2 linked regions of the Tamandua tetradactyla genome follow. The protein of the gene in region 2 interacts with the protein of the main gene of each other region in a biochemical or structural test. Links are inferred from orthologs where the notes say so. Each region holds a gene or a part of one and is shown on either strand. Other genes may lie near its edges.

Region 1 (7,927 bases), on a different chromosome or scaffold from region 2:
ATAAACATCAACTGAACCTATCCTGAGAAGCTATCAAGAAGTCAGGTTGCTCTGGAGATTCTCCAAATCTCTCCCATGGCCCCTTGGGTTATATCATGATATCTCCGTAGATCTCTGCATGCCTGCTTAATGCTTCTCTCTTAAGACTAACCAGTTTCTTTTTACTACTATATAGCTTCAGCTCTCACAAGGCTTCAGCCTGTAAGATCCCTAACTCTACTCAGTATACATTCAGCTTCTGCTGTTGTGGCTTAATGACGAATTCTATTTCAGTTTCTAAGTTCAGATTCTTAACAGTGAGAACTGATTGGTCCAGATCATCTTGCTGTACCAGGCCATAGCGTCGTAGCAAGTCTATATGGATTGGTTAACTTGGGCCAAGGGTCCAAATTGGCAGCTGTGGCTAAAGACAGGCAGGGTGATCAATTTTCCTGAGAAGAATGTTGTGGCCTAGGTAGACTATTCTGAAACTTAGCTTATCATATGCCATTTTAAAAACCTCTCAAACAAGATCTCTTTTTCCCTTTATTTGCCTATTTCCATGAATGATATTGCCATTCTCCCCATCACATGAACTGAAATTGTAATAATATTTTAATTAAACAGATTTAATTTTGTTGGAAAAATAATTCATGCACATAGTAAAATATTCAGAACATAAAAGGGTATACACACTGGTAATTGTCTCCATTCTTCCAAAGAGCCCCAAGGCCCCCCAGGGGCAACCACAGTTAACAGGTTTTTTAAAGTATCCTTCAGAAAAATTTTATGTCATGTTCAAGCATTTTAATCCACACTTTAATTTTACATAAATGGAAGAATACCATAAAACTATCTGTGCCTTGCTTTTCTCATATAACAAGTAGCTCTTGGGCCCTAATCCATATCAATATATGTAGATCTACTACAGTTTTTCTTTTTAACGGCATCACAAAACTTCATTGTATATATGTGATTTTTATCCAGTGCTTTTTCGATAGGAATGTTATTTCCAGTTTTGCCCTTACAAATAAGGCTGCAATAAGTACCTATGTTTGCACACACCTGATCTATAGGGTAAATTCTGATGAGAAATTTTGAGGTCAAAGCATGAATTAATAATTTTGATACATTTATTTCCAAGATGCCCTCCAAAGGTGTTGTGACAATTATTCTCATCTTCTGTGATGAGCATGCCCATTTTCTCCAACTTTCAAAAGTTTCGTGTTCTGCCAAACACTGTGATCTCTGCCAATTTGGTAATTTCAGTAACTTTAAATTTGATCTACTTTCTCTTAGTTACCTGGTTTTGTGAATGCTTCCAAAATGTCTCTCCTCTTCATCTGCCTTTGTATTTGTACTACTACAACTTTAGTTTCACTTTTGCTGCTTCATGTATTGACTCCTGATAGCTCATTCTATACTTTTCCATTATTAATTCCCAATTTAACAATAAATGATGCCAAATTAATATTTTACTAACTTGCATAATTTTACTTATATCCTTAGAAACCTTTGGTGGCTCCTAATGCCTACAGAGTTAAGTCCAAATCCCTTAACCAGGCATTCAATGCTTTTCAGAGTCCAGTCCATCTACTTTGGAACCTCTGTCCCCACACAAAAGTTCTGCTTCAAAATTTTGCTTTGCTGTCTTCATGCTTTTTGCCCCATCACTGCCCTTATTTGGACTTTTTCCTCCCTGGTCAAGCCTAATTTCACTTATCCTTCATGGTTAATCCTTCATCGTTAAACTCTTGGTTACTTTAAGTCATTCTCTGACAACCTAGTCCACAGTTCTCTCTCCTCAGACTTCTTGCTGCTCTCATGGTCTGTAGCATTCATTTGACATTTATTAACCTAGAGTAACCAAGAGTTTATTGTCTTTTCTATCATCTGAATTAAGATATTAACTCCTTAGGAGAAGGAGCCATCCCTAAAACATTTTTTGTCTCCCACATACACAGTATAATTCTTCCCATATTGAGGTGCTCAAAAAAAATACCTGTCTGTTAAAACAAGTCCTAAGTATATTAAACAGGAGAATAAACTAGCTAGATACCAAAGAAGTACACTGCTAATTCTTTCAAAAAAAGTAGAAATCCAAGAAGGTACTTCACATTTGTTTTCCCTAATCTACAGCAGATGGCAAAAGTGTCTGCTGAGAATTCACGAAACACTCAGGTGTTACTAGAGAGAGAAACTTTCCAATAAGAGGAAAATAAAAACAAAGGAAAAAAAATTAAGAAAAAACTCTAGTCAACGGACATTGGGAACTTCTCCTGGAGCTCGTGTGCTGTATTTGCTAAACAAGGATCACTGATGTTGTCTCCAATGCATCCAACAATGAGCTATCCACACCAAGACTCTGGTGAAGTATTGCATTGTGCTACTGACAGCACACTGTTAAGGTAGTGATATATGAGTCCCTCTATGCACTAACCCTGGGCTACAAAAAGGGGCCAAGCTGTCTTTTGAGGGGGAAGTGAGTTTAAACAAAAAGTGATCAAAGAAAATTCAGAAGAAATATGATGAAAGGAAAAAGATCAGCAGTGTTCTGTAGGGGCACTTCCAGCTGAAGAAGCCTCTTGCATGCACTGCTTCCAGGCCAGGCTGGTGTGGTGGAGCAGATGGCTTTGTGCTGGAAAGCAAGGAGCTGGAGTTCTATTTGAGGAAAATCAAAGTCTGGAAAGGCAAATAAATTCTCCTCTCTCCCATCCTACCTTATGTAATAAAGGTGTTTATTGTTCTTAAAACAACAACAAAAAAACTAGCCAAAATAGGACTCATGACCTCTGACAAGCAACACTTCTCATCAGACTGTCACTAGACTGATAAACAACTTCTTCAGCATAACTAGTCCTTTATCTATCTGGTTTGTACAGTCTTTGACATATCAAAAGTGGAGGCACGCTTGCTGATCTGCCTGCTTTTTTGTCATTTCTCTCTAAGTTCTGGGGGGGAGAAAAGAGAGTATCTACACTGAGTTATAATGTAAGATGATCAAGCTAGATCCTGACCTTTACCCACACCTGTGAAATCGAGTCTCAGTAATTGGTTGAAATAAAACACTCCAGATCCTTGTTTCAAATAATATCTACCTTAGAAATTAAACTACTTCTGTAAGTGATTTTTTTTTTTTTGGGGGGGGTGCATACTTCAGGAATCGAACCCGGGTCCCTCGCATGGAAGGTAGGCATTCTAACCACTAAAATACCCGTGCACCCTAAGTGAATTTTTAAAATACAAAACTATATCTTTTTTACATGCATATAAATGCATGAGAAGAGATTTGGAAGAGCACACAACTTCTAAGTGCATACTTCTGGGGAGGGGTTGCATTAGTTGATTTTTTTTTTAAAGATAAAAATTTTTCTTTAACAAAAGGAAACTGTATCTTATTACTCTCACTTATCTTCTTCAAAGAGTTTCTCATTAAATTCCATGATGCCTCTAAACATTCATTTGGGAAAAATGACCTGCCACTGTTATTTCTTATTTAACCCAATTTTCTGAGTAATCCGATCTGTAAAGAATGTTGTTTGAGGGTTTAAATGACCAAAATACGTCCACGGATCTAATCCTTCACTTTTGTCACATTATCACAAGTTCGCATTGCTTAGAGGCAATATGGTATCGTAATGAAAGCAAAAGGACTTGAGTTCTAGTGTTATAGCTCTGGTAAGAACATGCTGGAGGCCCCTTAGTAAATCACTTTATTTGGTGAGTTAGACCAGAATGGATAACCTCTGGTTACTAGAATTTTAAAGACGTACAAAGACTTATAAAGTCTATTCTATGGAGAAAGTCTCTCATGCAGTTCTAAAATGCTGTCAATTTAAAAAGACGACAGGTTCCTTTAAACTTAGTAAACAGTGAGCCCCTACGACATGCATGGTATACATTAGGACGCATTACGATTCTCAGGCGCTCACTTGCCAGAGCTTAGGTGGATTTGTGAAGAGAAAATCCTTTCAATCAAGAAGCGTTTCGCTTCTCTTAGCCGTAAGAATCCTCCAAAGTCTTAGGTTGTTAAGGCCTTATAACAGTGAAGGCAACATACCTGCTGTGAACGTGGAAATGGCATTACTACAGTTCCCAGCATGCCTCTTTCCACCCCCGCCCCTGGAAGCCAGCAGGCCCGGACTTAAAACGGTGGCGGAGCCAGCGTCGAAGCATTCTTGTAGTAATCTGCTTCCCCCCGCCCTCTGCCCTGAGTAAGCGGTGAGATCGCAAGCTCTAATTAACATCATACTCCAACCCATGAGACTTAGTCCTAAGAAGAGTTCCCTCCTATAGGGTAACCAACACTCTTTTAAGGTTTTCTCAGACCTGGGCGCTACCGGGACGGGGCCACGCCCCGGAAGTGGAGTCGGGTCGCTCACCAGATCGCCGAAGTTCCTTCCAGCCACTCCAAGCCGAGCCGCGGCGCTGGGCGGGCCTGGGGGCGTGGCCTTGGAGGTGGGGCGAGCGGGGGCGTAGCAGCGCGGCGCGGCGCTTGGGGCGGAGCCGCGGTGCGGGGCCGCGCGTTTGGGTGGCGGCGGGGGCGCGCCGTGGGGTAGAGTCGGCTGTCGCTGCTAGTGGTAGTGGTAGTGGTGGTGGTGGTGGTGCGGGGGGAGGAGAAACTGGGGACGGGGGGAGTAGGGCGAGCGCAGAGCGGTGTTCCTGAGGCGGTGGCGGCGTCTCCGGAGGAGGAGGAGGGCGGGGAAGGAGGATGGAGCAAGCTGGGGGCTGGGGCTGGCGCTAGCCGCAGCACCTCGGCTCGTTACTGTGGGAAAGCGGCGACTGCTCCTGGAAGTTGTGTCGGGAGCCCGGCCGGGTGCCGCCGCTGCGTCCCCTAGGGCGGTGGGGAGGAGGAGCGGCGGGGATTGGCGGGGGTCGGGAGGGAGGAGACGCGCAGCGGGAGCGAGCTGGGGAAGACGGAGCGGGCTCTGCGCCGGGCGGGCGGGCGGCGGCGGGGGGGCCAGCGACCGCAGCCAGGGGGACGCGGGAGGATGGAGCAAGTGGAGATCCTGAGGAAATTCATCCAGAGGGTCCAGGCCATGAAGAGTCCGGACCACAATGGGGAGGACAACTTCGCCCGGGACTTCATGGTGAGTCTCTCACCTCGCTGTCGGCTCCTCTCGAGGCCACTGAAGCCCACCGCAGCCTCGCCGGGCCGGCCCGAGCCGCCAGCGCTTTGTGTGCTGCTGTGAGGAGAGGGGCAGAGGGGGCGCGCACCAACCCCAGGGGCCGTCTTGGCCGGGAGCCCGGCGGGAGGTGATACTGCCTCCGCCCCTAGGTCTCCTTTCCCCCTCTCCCGCGTTCGCGGCCCCTTCCGCGGGCTTCTGAGGCGCGAAGGGAGCGGCCGCTGGGCCGAGTCCTAACCCGGCACCGTTTCCTGCGACCACCTATTGTTTCTCGGGCCTGGAGCCGGAGGCGAGTGAGGTGCTGACCGAGAGGACTTGCCTTTCCACACCTCCCCACCTAGCCTGCCCTTCCCAGGAGGGTCGAGGCAGAGTGTCGGGCTGTGTCCGGGGTGGGGAACCGATCCGGCTGATGGAGGTACCAGATTGTTGAGGTCGGCGTTAACTCGTGGGGTCATTTTGCCCAAGCAAGTCTCAGAGGTGGGCAAGGTAGGACTTCTGCCTTGTCTGGGTTCGCAGTTAATGTCCAACGCTTGCAAAAAGGTTTTCCATAAGGAAATCGGGGTTCTTATAATTTTCCATTTATCCCGGTCCCATCTCTCCTCTCCTGAGACCCAAGTTTGAGGTGGTCTTAGGATCCGTTTGACTTTAGGTTGGGGGGGGGGAGTGTGTGCGTGTGTGTGGGGGTATCCTGAAGGAAGCCTACTTCGGACACCCTAGGGGATATTGCCAAAGGCGGAGGGGATGTGACTATCACTTCCTATCCGGGGTGGGGGTGGGGAGCTTGGGAACAATAGTTCTGGCGGGGCGGAGGCGACTATCTGGGCTGAAGCCCTGAACTGGGAGATAACCTTCTCAGCCCCCCGCCCCTTTCCGCCTGCTGCTCCTGCGGGCGGGCTTATGAGGTGAGGGTTAAAGTCTTGTTCGTGAACTTGCTCTACGATACTTCGCTGTGAGGGGAGGCAGATCCGAAGGCGTGGGACCAGAAGTCGACTTCCTATACTACATCCCCCCACCCTCCACCTTTTATTTTTCTGCTGGACAATGTTCCCTCTAGGGTTGTTTCCCGGTTTTGGAGGCGGTGGTTGTGGCTATTGCTCCTACGGATATTGCGCAAGACTGGGGCGTTGGAAACCCTGGAGGTCTGGGGATGGAAAAGGAAGTGGGACTTTGGGAAGTGGTTGCTTCTTAGCCTTGGCGGGGGTTGGGGATGGGAAATAAGCCGGGGAAAATTTAGCCTCTGGATGAGGTACACCTCCGAGAATAATCCTTTAACTCCGAAATTCGATTATAAAAAAGATACGGAGCTCAGGTGTAGAAAAATGAATGGGCAGCTGACATTGGCTGGTTTTTGTTTCAAAGTACAGTTGTTTTCAAGGTGCAGGTGAAGTGACATTTAGTACTGAAATACTTTATAACATTTTAAAAAGACTTTAGTCTAGAAGCTTTAGCGTTAAAATTGTTCAATTTATAAAATAGATCCTTGACCTTACATAGTATTATAATATTGTTGAGCTTTGTGATTCCTACTTCTCCAGGTAAGTAGTAGAGGACAGGAATAAGGTTTTGTTAGTATCTTTTGAAGACTGAAAGACAGAAATTAAATAATTTGATTATGTGTTATTTGAGACATTTTCTCTTGCTATGTAACCTAAATATTTTTGAAATATTACTTTTGATCTGAAGGGGGTAAAGAAAGGAGTATTTTCTCCCCTAACTCATGAGAATTTTTATTTGTTGATATATTTCAGGTGTCATTTTCAGTAATTGGTTGGTGTTCCCTTTTTATTATTCTCTAGCAAAAATAGAAGAAAATATTTACTTGGAATATTTAAAACATTGTAAACTTAAGTCTTGGAAGACTAGATGGTATAGACCTTGACTGGCCACTTGTTTGCATTCTAGCCATATTGTTTTCCCTGGATGCTCTATCCTGTCAGAAAAGAGCATTGTTTGGTTTGATGATGCAGGCCAGGACAGGTGTGCAGACTGTGAGCTACTGTACAGGGGACTTAGCCTTAGGATTCGTGCTTTAGGGATGAATCAGGAATTCTTATTGGAGATTTCATTCCTTGAGGATTAAATAAGTTTCCTTTTTATTCCATAATACCTAGAAATAGCTAGGTGATTCTGCATTTGAGATTTGATAACTGAGGCTATTCTTACACAGTGTTGTGTGTGTGTGTGTGTGTGTGTGTGTGTGTTGGGGGGGAATTACCTGACTTATAGTTTAAGCAATAAGCTATAATTAAGGCTGTACATAGTGCCATTTTTTCCTTTGACTAAAAAGCTGGAGAAAGACATCTCCCTACCTCTGTCCCTTTGTCATGGAAACAGAATAGAGGGTAGGGCTCATATTCTGTGGTGTTATTCTAAATTCTAATGCAAATCAGAAATTGTTTTTAAATTTACTTTGAATATTGAAAACATCTTAAACTGAAGTCTTATTATGGTTATGGAAGAATAAATGCTATAGACCTTTAGCATTTTAGAACTGAAAGAGGTCATAGAGGTTATCTAGCTATTACAACCCCGTTCCATTATAATATTGCTTATTATTTCAGATTTACAAATTATAGAATAACAATTAGTTATGTCTTATGCTTAGAAAAGTAGCATACCAGCTCTGTCTGACTACCCAGTCTTTCTATAGTCTACCCGACTACCTCTGATAATGTTTTTAGTGCTTCCATGTGTCAATACTACATATACCATTATATGTTATTCATTACCTAATATTTTGGTAAATTTTTTTATTAATGCAACTGCTTTGTAAAAATTTTAAATGGAGTATAATATTTCATCTGATGATTTATTATACCACA
Region 2 (7,919 bases):
AAAATAAGTTATGTAAGTAGTGAATGTTCATTTTAGAAACATTAGAAAAATAGAGAAAATAATTTTGATTACACCAAAGCCACTCCCCCATCCTCCACCAAAGAAAACAAAAGACACTAGTGAAATTCTAACCAATAAAGACTGGGGAAAGGCAGTACTTATTTGGAAGCCAGCTCAGTGTTAAGGACCCAATAGGCCCTCCCTAAATATCACACACTGGTGAAAAAGAATCCTACCTCATCCCCAAAACGGCCACAGGTGATATTCTGGTGTCTTTCCCAATGCAAATATATATTATAAATGTAGATATGTAAATTTTTATGAAAATAGACTCTTACTGTACCTATTGTTTGGAAGCCTATTTTTTTCCACGCTTAACAATACACTGTACACATTACCATGTCTTCCCTAGGGCTCCCTATTGTTGCCAAGGGCTGCCCAGGATTCTGCTGCGTGATGGTCCATGATTTAAACTGGTCCCCGTTATTGAATCTGTGAGTTCTTTCCAAGCTTTCCATATCGTAAGCAGTGCTGCAAGTAATATCCTGGTATGTGTGTCTTTGGCTCCATTTTAGTGCACTTTTTTAAGAATAAATTTCTGGAATTTCTGGGTCAAAGAGTTCGTTTATGCTGGGGGTTTGGGCCTCATCTTGCTGATCTGCCTGTGTCATTTGTAGCTATTCCCACAAACAGGGCATGCTGCTTGCACTGAGCAAGAAGATTCCCGCGCTGGCCAGTGTGGGGGCCCACACGGGGGCTGGGGGGTGGGAGACAGCCCTGGAACCCCACAGTCTTCGGGGAGAAAGCATTGCCTTGTCGGTGCCTTGATTTGGACTTTCTCTTAGCCTCAAAACCGTGAGTAAATCAGTGAGGAAACAGTCTCAGGTTATTAACTCATATGCACAATGGCATTCAGCGGCAAGCCATGGAGCAGGATTCAGAGGAGACATCCAGAGCCCAGAGCTGCCTGGAGTTGGCCTGCTCAGTTAACATTACAAAATCCAGAGATGTTAAGAAACGATCTGGATTTCTAGATTATCTTAAAAAATCAGACTTGCCAACGGAAAGAGCAGCCAATGGCCAAAGCTGGCACAATTTGAATTTAAAAAAAACGAAACAGAATTGGAGTGTAATTCAAAATGCAAAATAAATATCTGTGGTCCTTACTGACATAAAAAATGATTGAAAAAAGAAATGGAAGAGAAGAAAAAAAAATTCCCCTGCAGAAGTGTTTCAAACAATTGATGTAGACGTTCCACCCTCAAGGAGATGGCATGTAATTTCCCACTTTCTCAAGCATAGACTGCACAAGTGACTTCCTTCCAAAGGGCATCATAAGAAAAAAGAGGTGGGGGGAGAGTAACTTTTCAGTGGAGGAACCTGGCAAATCCCACCTTAGCCAGGCGGTCAAGGTCAGCATCAGCTGGGCTAAGCCATGGTGATAGCAGGTATTCTTGAGAACAGCCCTTTGCCTCTGTGATCTGCCTCGTAAAACCCACAACCTCACTCTGATCATGAGAGACACACCAGACAAATCTCAACCGAGGGATATTCTACAATCCCCCTGCCCAGTGTTCCTCAGAATTGCCAAGGTCACCAAAACAAAGAAGTCTGCAAAATGATGCCACCGAGAGGAGTCCAGGAGGCAACACAACTAAATGTAAGGTGGTATCGGATGGCATCTTGCAACAGAAGAGGCACATTAGGGGAAACTAAGGAAATTGAAATAAAGAATGGACTTTAGTTAATAATAGTATAGCAATATTGGTTCACTAATTGTGAAAAATGTATCAGAGTAATGTAAGATGTCAATAATAGGACTAACTGGGTATGAGGCATATGGGAACTCTGTACTACTGTAATTGTTTTGTAGATCTAAAACTATTCTAAAATAAAATTTTATTAAACAAACAAACAAAAGGATCTGATGCACCGCGCCAAGCCTGAATTCCCACATCTCAGTAACTGGAGCTGAGCTGGGCAGCAGCTGCTCTCTCTGCCCCAGTCCCCACCCCTCCCTATCACCCTATACTGGGTCTCTCTCAGTGCTGTTCCCCACCTGGCCCCCTATATGCACCTGTGTTTAGGACCCTACTCCATGAGTTTAGGACCCTACTCTATGTGGCCAAGAATGAGAAACTGCCTGCCTTTCAGAGTGCAGGGCAGGCCCCCTCTTCCAGGAAGTCTTCACAGCCCTCAAGGGTCCCTTTGTCCCAGCTTCCAAGGTCCTCATGTTCAGTGGGCTCTGGGAAGCCCACACTTCTCTCCTCCATGGTCTGTCAGTTCCACCAGGCAGACAGCTTGACCTCCACATCCCTGTGCCCTCGGCGCCCAGGAGGGACCTCAAAGGTCTCCTGGGCCAGAGGCCCCTATACTGAGAAGTCCTGGTTACCCTGGGGAGGAGAATGGGGTAGAAGGAGCCACCTCCTGACCCTTGGCCCCTTTAGATACCTCAAGGCCCAGGATACAGCGGCCCAGCCTTGGTGTCCAGAGGAGAGCTGAATGTAAAGTTTGCCCCTGCGTGATTCGTTTTCCAGCTGTGTCCAAATTCCCTTCTCTCCCAGTTATTGTCAGGAACAGACCCCCGCCACCCTGGGGCCCCCTCAGCTCTCAGGGACCCTCTCAGCGTGCTGGGGCCAGCTCAGGCAGCCCCTCTCTTGGTTCTGGCCAGAACTGCCAGCCTGAGGGCCCAAGAGCCTCTGCACTCCTGAGTGAGCCAGCCTGGGATCATTTGCCTTCCTGGAGAGGGTGTGGGGGGAGCAGACCCCGCCTTTACAGGCTCTTAGCGTCAGGGCAGGCGCCCAGGACCCCCAGGAGGCTTCTCTGGTTGACCCCAACCCCATAAGCCGCCTCTCCCCCTCCGCTGAGGGTCCCCTCTCCCTGCACTAAGGGCTGAGTCAGTGATGCCCTTCCCCCAGTGAGCAGCCCCGTGGGGGGGGGGGAGGTGGAGGCCAGGACTAGATGGCTTCGAGGTCTCGGTCCCGGCTGCACCCTGCCACTGTATCCAGGGTGCAGAAGGGGTTTTGCCCACCCCTCATCCCTTTCTGGCCTGGGGCAACTAGAGACGGGAGAGAAGGAATCCAAAACGGTGGGTGATGAGAGAGCCACCACAGAAAGGGAGGCTGAGCCTGGGAGGCTGGGGGATGGGGGGCTGGAGGAGGAGCTTGGAGAGGGCCAGCATGTGTGGCGGGGCGCCCGGGCGCCAGGCTGCACTGCTGCTCTCAGCTGAGGAGTCCCGTGCCAGCTGGATGCAGGCGGGTGGGCACGGGCAGGGCTGCGTGCCAGATACACACAGAGCACCCTTTGAGGAGGTGGCAGCTGTGGGCCTGGTCCCCTCCCTGTCTGCTGTGGCCCTGCCTGCCCCCTCCAGCAAGTCCTGGACGACTGCTGGGCTAGGGACACTGCGGTATACATTTGGGGACCCCCTTTAAAGGGGGAGATCCCTGATCAATCAGAGCAGGGAGGAACCCTGGCTCATCAGTTCTAGAACCAGGGTCAGTGGTAGACCTCAATTTCCCCTTTTTAGCTCATCTTATACCCGGCCACCTGCTCCCTATCCCCCCACCCCCACCCCTGCCAATGCTGGTGGCTACTCTTAAGGAGCCTCCCCAGGATGGAACTAGGGGAGGACCAAGGCAGTCCTCCCTTGGGGAAGAAGCTGGAAAACCTTTTAAAATCCAGTGGACGACTAGCTAATGGTGAATTTTAAGGTCTAGGGAACCTCTGAGGAAGCCCCCTGCCACCTGTCTCTGCTTCCCCTGCTCAGTCATCTTGGACCTCCTTGCACTTGCACCCCTGGCAGACAAAACAGCTTGTGCCCCCCCTGCAGCCGAGTGTGACAGATTTCCCAGGGGCTGGGGCTCTCTGCCCACCCCTCAGCCAGCTCCTGCATGTCCTCCCTGGACACTGCCTGGCCCCCCAGGCCCCCGGTCTAGGAACTCATAGGCGCTCCCTCCCTCCCCTGCAGGGCATAACCTGCGGGTCTCCCAAAGCAGCAGCGACCATTTCCCTGGACCAGGGCTCGCTGGGCATTCAAGGGCACCCAGGAAGGGCCCCCATGGAGCAAGGACAGACGCCAGGTTCTGCCTTTCCGTAGCCGAGGGACCTCTGAGGAGCCTCAGAGTCTACAACATAACAAGGGAACAGCAAGGCCTGCCTGGCAGGGAGGTGGGGAGATGAGAGCGAACACAGGTCAGGTGCCTGTGCGGAGTTTAGCAGGTCCAGTGTTTGGATGCGGAACGGTGGAAGGAATTGGGGGTGTTTAACTTGGGGAAGGGAGGGCCCAGGTCTGCACACGTTCATCTTTCAGTGTCTGGAGGGCTGTGTGGGTGGCTCGTGGGCGGAGGTCCCAGGAGACAGATCTCGGATGGGCAAAGCTATTCCCGGGGGCAGGAGCTTCCCATGGCGAGCGTGGGGGTGCGGGTGGGGTGGGCGCAGCAGGGGACCCCGGGCAGCGCCGCTTAGGGACTGTACTGGGGATCTCGGGCCCCCTTTCAACGGGGAGTGGGGGCTTCTCGGAGCCCAGCTCTACTGATCTGCAGTTGCCTTCAGCCGGAACGAGAGCATCCCCTGTCTGATTCCAGACGCATAGTCTGCGAACCTGGTCAAAGTCACAGGGCAGGCGCCCCGCCCCCTGGGATGTGCAATGTGGAGAGTGGGGCTTTCGGCACCCAGAACCGGAGCGGCGAACAGGAGGTGGTGCTGTTGGAGAGGGCCCTGGAGGATGGGCAAGGGGCGGGGAGCCAGGGCGCTCTGAGCCGCGTTGGGCCGACGGAAAAATGCCAGGGGCCGGGGTCCTCGCCTTTAACGCGGTCCTCGGCGAAGGAGGCTGGAGGGGGAGGGGCGGCGCGGGCGGCGCATGCGCAGCGCAGGCTAGCGAGGCCGGACCGTCCGGCCCCCGGGAGCGCGCAGGAGCCGGCGGGGAGCCGGGAAAGCGCCGGGACTCCGCGCCGCGGGGGCGTCTGAGCCGTGCAGGCGGACCCGAGCCCCCAGCCTGCCGGCGCCGCTGCTCAAGCCGGTGCCCCGACTGGGGCCAAGATGTCCGTGCCGGTGAGTACCGACCGCCAGCCGGGACTCCGAGTCACCCCTGTCCCCGGCCGGGCCTGTGGACCTCGCGCCGCCCGCTGCAGGCCTAGTGCCGCGGGGTCCCCCGACAGGCGCTCGCGGGACCTGGGCCCCCACGGGCGGGGCACGGTTAGGCGGGGGCGTCTCCCCCAAGCCGGCGGCTTCTGTGCCCCTTCCTTCCACTATTCTCTCAGGAGGGCTGGGGTCTGCACTGTCTCCTTGGAGACCCCCTTTCCCGTCAGAATGGCCGGGCCTGTTGTGGGTCTGGGCTCCGCGCCCTTGGGAAATCCCGGGAACAACTGTCCCCCGCGGGGATCTGTGCTGCCCCCAGGAGTCCCCACCAGGATAGCCAGGCCTTGTGTGGAGGTGGGGGTGGGGTCCGTTCGCCTCTCCGAGACCCCCTACGGGACAGCTGGGCCGGGGGGTTGGGGAGATGTCCGTGCTCTCCCCCAGGAAAACGCCTGGGTGACAGCCGTACTGTCTTCCAGGGACCCACCGAGATGGTCAGGCCTGGGCCGGGGTGGTTACTTCTCCCCTTGGACCACTCCGCTCCCTCCGGGCTTGGCCGTTGGGGGTTCATGCTCCCCCACCCTTCCCCCAGGAAGGCTGCTGCACTCACTTTCCTGGGAAGTTTCCTGGGAGTCCCTGAACCCCGGGATGCAGGACCCAGTCAGTCTCTTGTTCCCTGTAGCCATGGGCGCTTCTCTTCCTGCCTGACAACCCGTTTTCCATGGCCTGGCTGGCCGGAGAGGTGGTCTCCAGTGAGAACTTTGGTGACCCTGGATGACCAGGCCTCAGGCCCTCGCCCCAACCCGCTTTACAGATGGACAGACTGAGGTGGGAGGCAGACCCAGGGCTGGCCTGAAGGGGTGCTGCTGCATGTTGGGGCTGGGGCCTCCAGCCATTGTTTCTCCTGGAGCTAGCGGCTTTTCTCTCACTCCCTAAGGGCAGTGGGCCAGAGCACCAGGTAGACCCTCGCCTTGTTTCTAGGGCTGCTCGCCTCCTGGGGAACCCCATCCTTAAGGTAGAGCAGGTAGTTGGGACTTTCTGGCAGGATAGATTGGCCTCTTAATTAACCACAATAGAGTGTGTGGAGATTATTGGATGTAAGTGCAAAGCATTGTTATTATGGAATTAAAGATCTCAGCTCCTGTCTGCCTCCAGGAGCAGTAATGCACAGTTACAGATGAAAAAATTAGGGCTTCCAGGCCGTGCTGATGTGAAAGCCCTACCCCCCATCTGTTCTGGTTCAGAGCGTAATTGCTTCATCTTTAGAAATGCCTGCCAAGCCCTTCTTCTCCCCTGCTCTGCTTTCTTACTGTGGGTCTCCCCTGGCCCAGGGTCTCAGGGGAGCTCCCCTTGCCCCTGGGCACTGGCCAGAGAGAGGAGGTGGATGACTTGAGCCTGCTGGAGGGCATTGGTGTCCAGGGAAGTGGGCAGGAATGTGACTCAGGGTAAATTGGGACCAGGACCATATCGAGCCTGGCTGGCCTCTGTTTGGGAGGCAGGAGTGGGACTTGGTTTCGTTGTTCACGGTCATTGCAGAGCATTGGACAGGACTCTGGCACCCAGACCCCTTGTCTTACAGAACTTTGGGAGTCCTCCTCGACTCTGTGCCTCAGAGGCCCCTTCAGAGAGGGGTGGGTTGGGAGGGCCAGGGTCCGCTTGTGACTTGGACAGACAAGCACCATTGTGGAGGCCAGCAGCTGTGGTTTACTCGCCCCACCCCCACCCCTTACTCCGCCCAGTTCCCACCCTCCCACCTGCAGCCACAACCTACAGGGGTGGGGGGTGGGGGGGTGGGCAAGGACTCACCATCTGCCCCCTGTGTGGCTGGACTGTCAGATCACCCTGGCTCTTTTCTTCAGACTTTGGGCAGTGTCTGAGCAGTGGGACCAGGAGAAGTTCGTTTATGGAGCAACCGTGAAATGTTCTGAAAATTGCTTTTTATGTGCTGAATTTGCCCCGGGGAGGCTTCCAGGCTGAGTCGCCTGCTCAGCTTTGTTTTCATAGCCATGATGGTGACTGCCCTTGTGGTGTCCACAGACACGTGTGGGTTTTAAGCACACCCGTTCATTTGGGCAGGCTTTTTCTGGATGGTACTGACGCAGGCAATTTGGACCACAGAAATTACAAGGTGCTTCAGAATGGGACAGGGAGGGAGGTGATGGCAGGGAGAGAAAAGGTTGGGAGGGGGCCAAGTTGACCCCCTGCCTGCTAGAACATGACGCTGTTATTTGAACCAGTTGGAATCTGAGGCCCAGAGAGGGGAAGGTGCCCCTGCTCAGTGCCCTATCTTCTGCCTGTTGCCTGCAGACTCACTTACTGGCTGCTGCCTGATTCTGGCTCCTCTCGGGATAGCTGCCTGACATCCTAGGTCTGTCTCTTCTCTCCAGGCAGGCAGGAAACATTTGAAAGGAAATGGCTATACCTCCCACCACCTTAGAACCCTGGCCAGCATTGGCTTGGAATCCTTGTGAGGAGTGGCAAAATGATGGCTGCCCCTGGCACTGTCAAGCTGCTTTCCCCTGGCACTGCAGAAACATCCCCTTGCTTCTCTTCCTGCCTCTTGTTTCCTGTCTGTGAAATGGATTTGGCCATTCCAGTCCCTGCTCCGCTCTTTTCTTATATGGGGGTTAGGCCCTTTCACACGTGAGAGGTCTTGAGCTAGTGGAGCACATCCTGAGTGCCTGGTGTTGGCCAAGTGCCTCCTGGGTTTAGGGAGAACGTGCGTCTTGCCAGGGTCACACTGGGAGGGAACCAAGTCTTGCAGAGTCCAAAGTCTCTGTGACTGTCATCCTGCGTGGCATCTCACAGGCTGTGGCCTGTGACTCTCAGCAGAGGCCAAGGCTACT

The links. The genes of interacting proteins can lie anywhere in the genome.
Region 1: the proteins of BCAR1 (region 2) and PTPN12 form a complex in vitro, tested with the Homo sapiens proteins (3 studies listed by BioGRID and IntAct, with this or other methods). The link is inferred for Tamandua tetradactyla from reciprocal best matches to the Homo sapiens genes BCAR1 and PTPN12.

What each region holds. Positions count from the first base shown.
Region 1 is NC_135327.1:140,471,619-140,479,545, reverse strand, and holds the start of PTPN12 (tyrosine-protein phosphatase non-receptor type 12), read left to right. Parts: upstream 1-4,921; 5' UTR 4,922-4,970; coding exon 4,971-5,069; intron 5,070-5,459; exon of another isoform or gene 5,460-5,591; intron 5,592-7,927. UniProt on the Homo sapiens protein: Dephosphorylates a range of proteins, and thereby regulates cellular signaling cascades. Dephosphorylates cellular tyrosine kinases, such as ERBB2 and PTK2B/PYK2, and thereby regulates signaling via ERBB2 and PTK2B/PYK2.
Region 2 is NC_135342.1:69,922,344-69,930,262, reverse strand, and holds the start of BCAR1 (breast cancer anti-estrogen resistance protein 1), read left to right. Parts: upstream 1-4,915; 5' UTR 4,916-5,037; coding exon 5,038-5,049; intron 5,050-7,919. UniProt on the Homo sapiens protein: Docking protein which plays a central coordinating role for tyrosine kinase-based signaling related to cell adhesion. Implicated in induction of cell migration and cell branching. Involved in the BCAR3-mediated inhibition of TGFB signaling.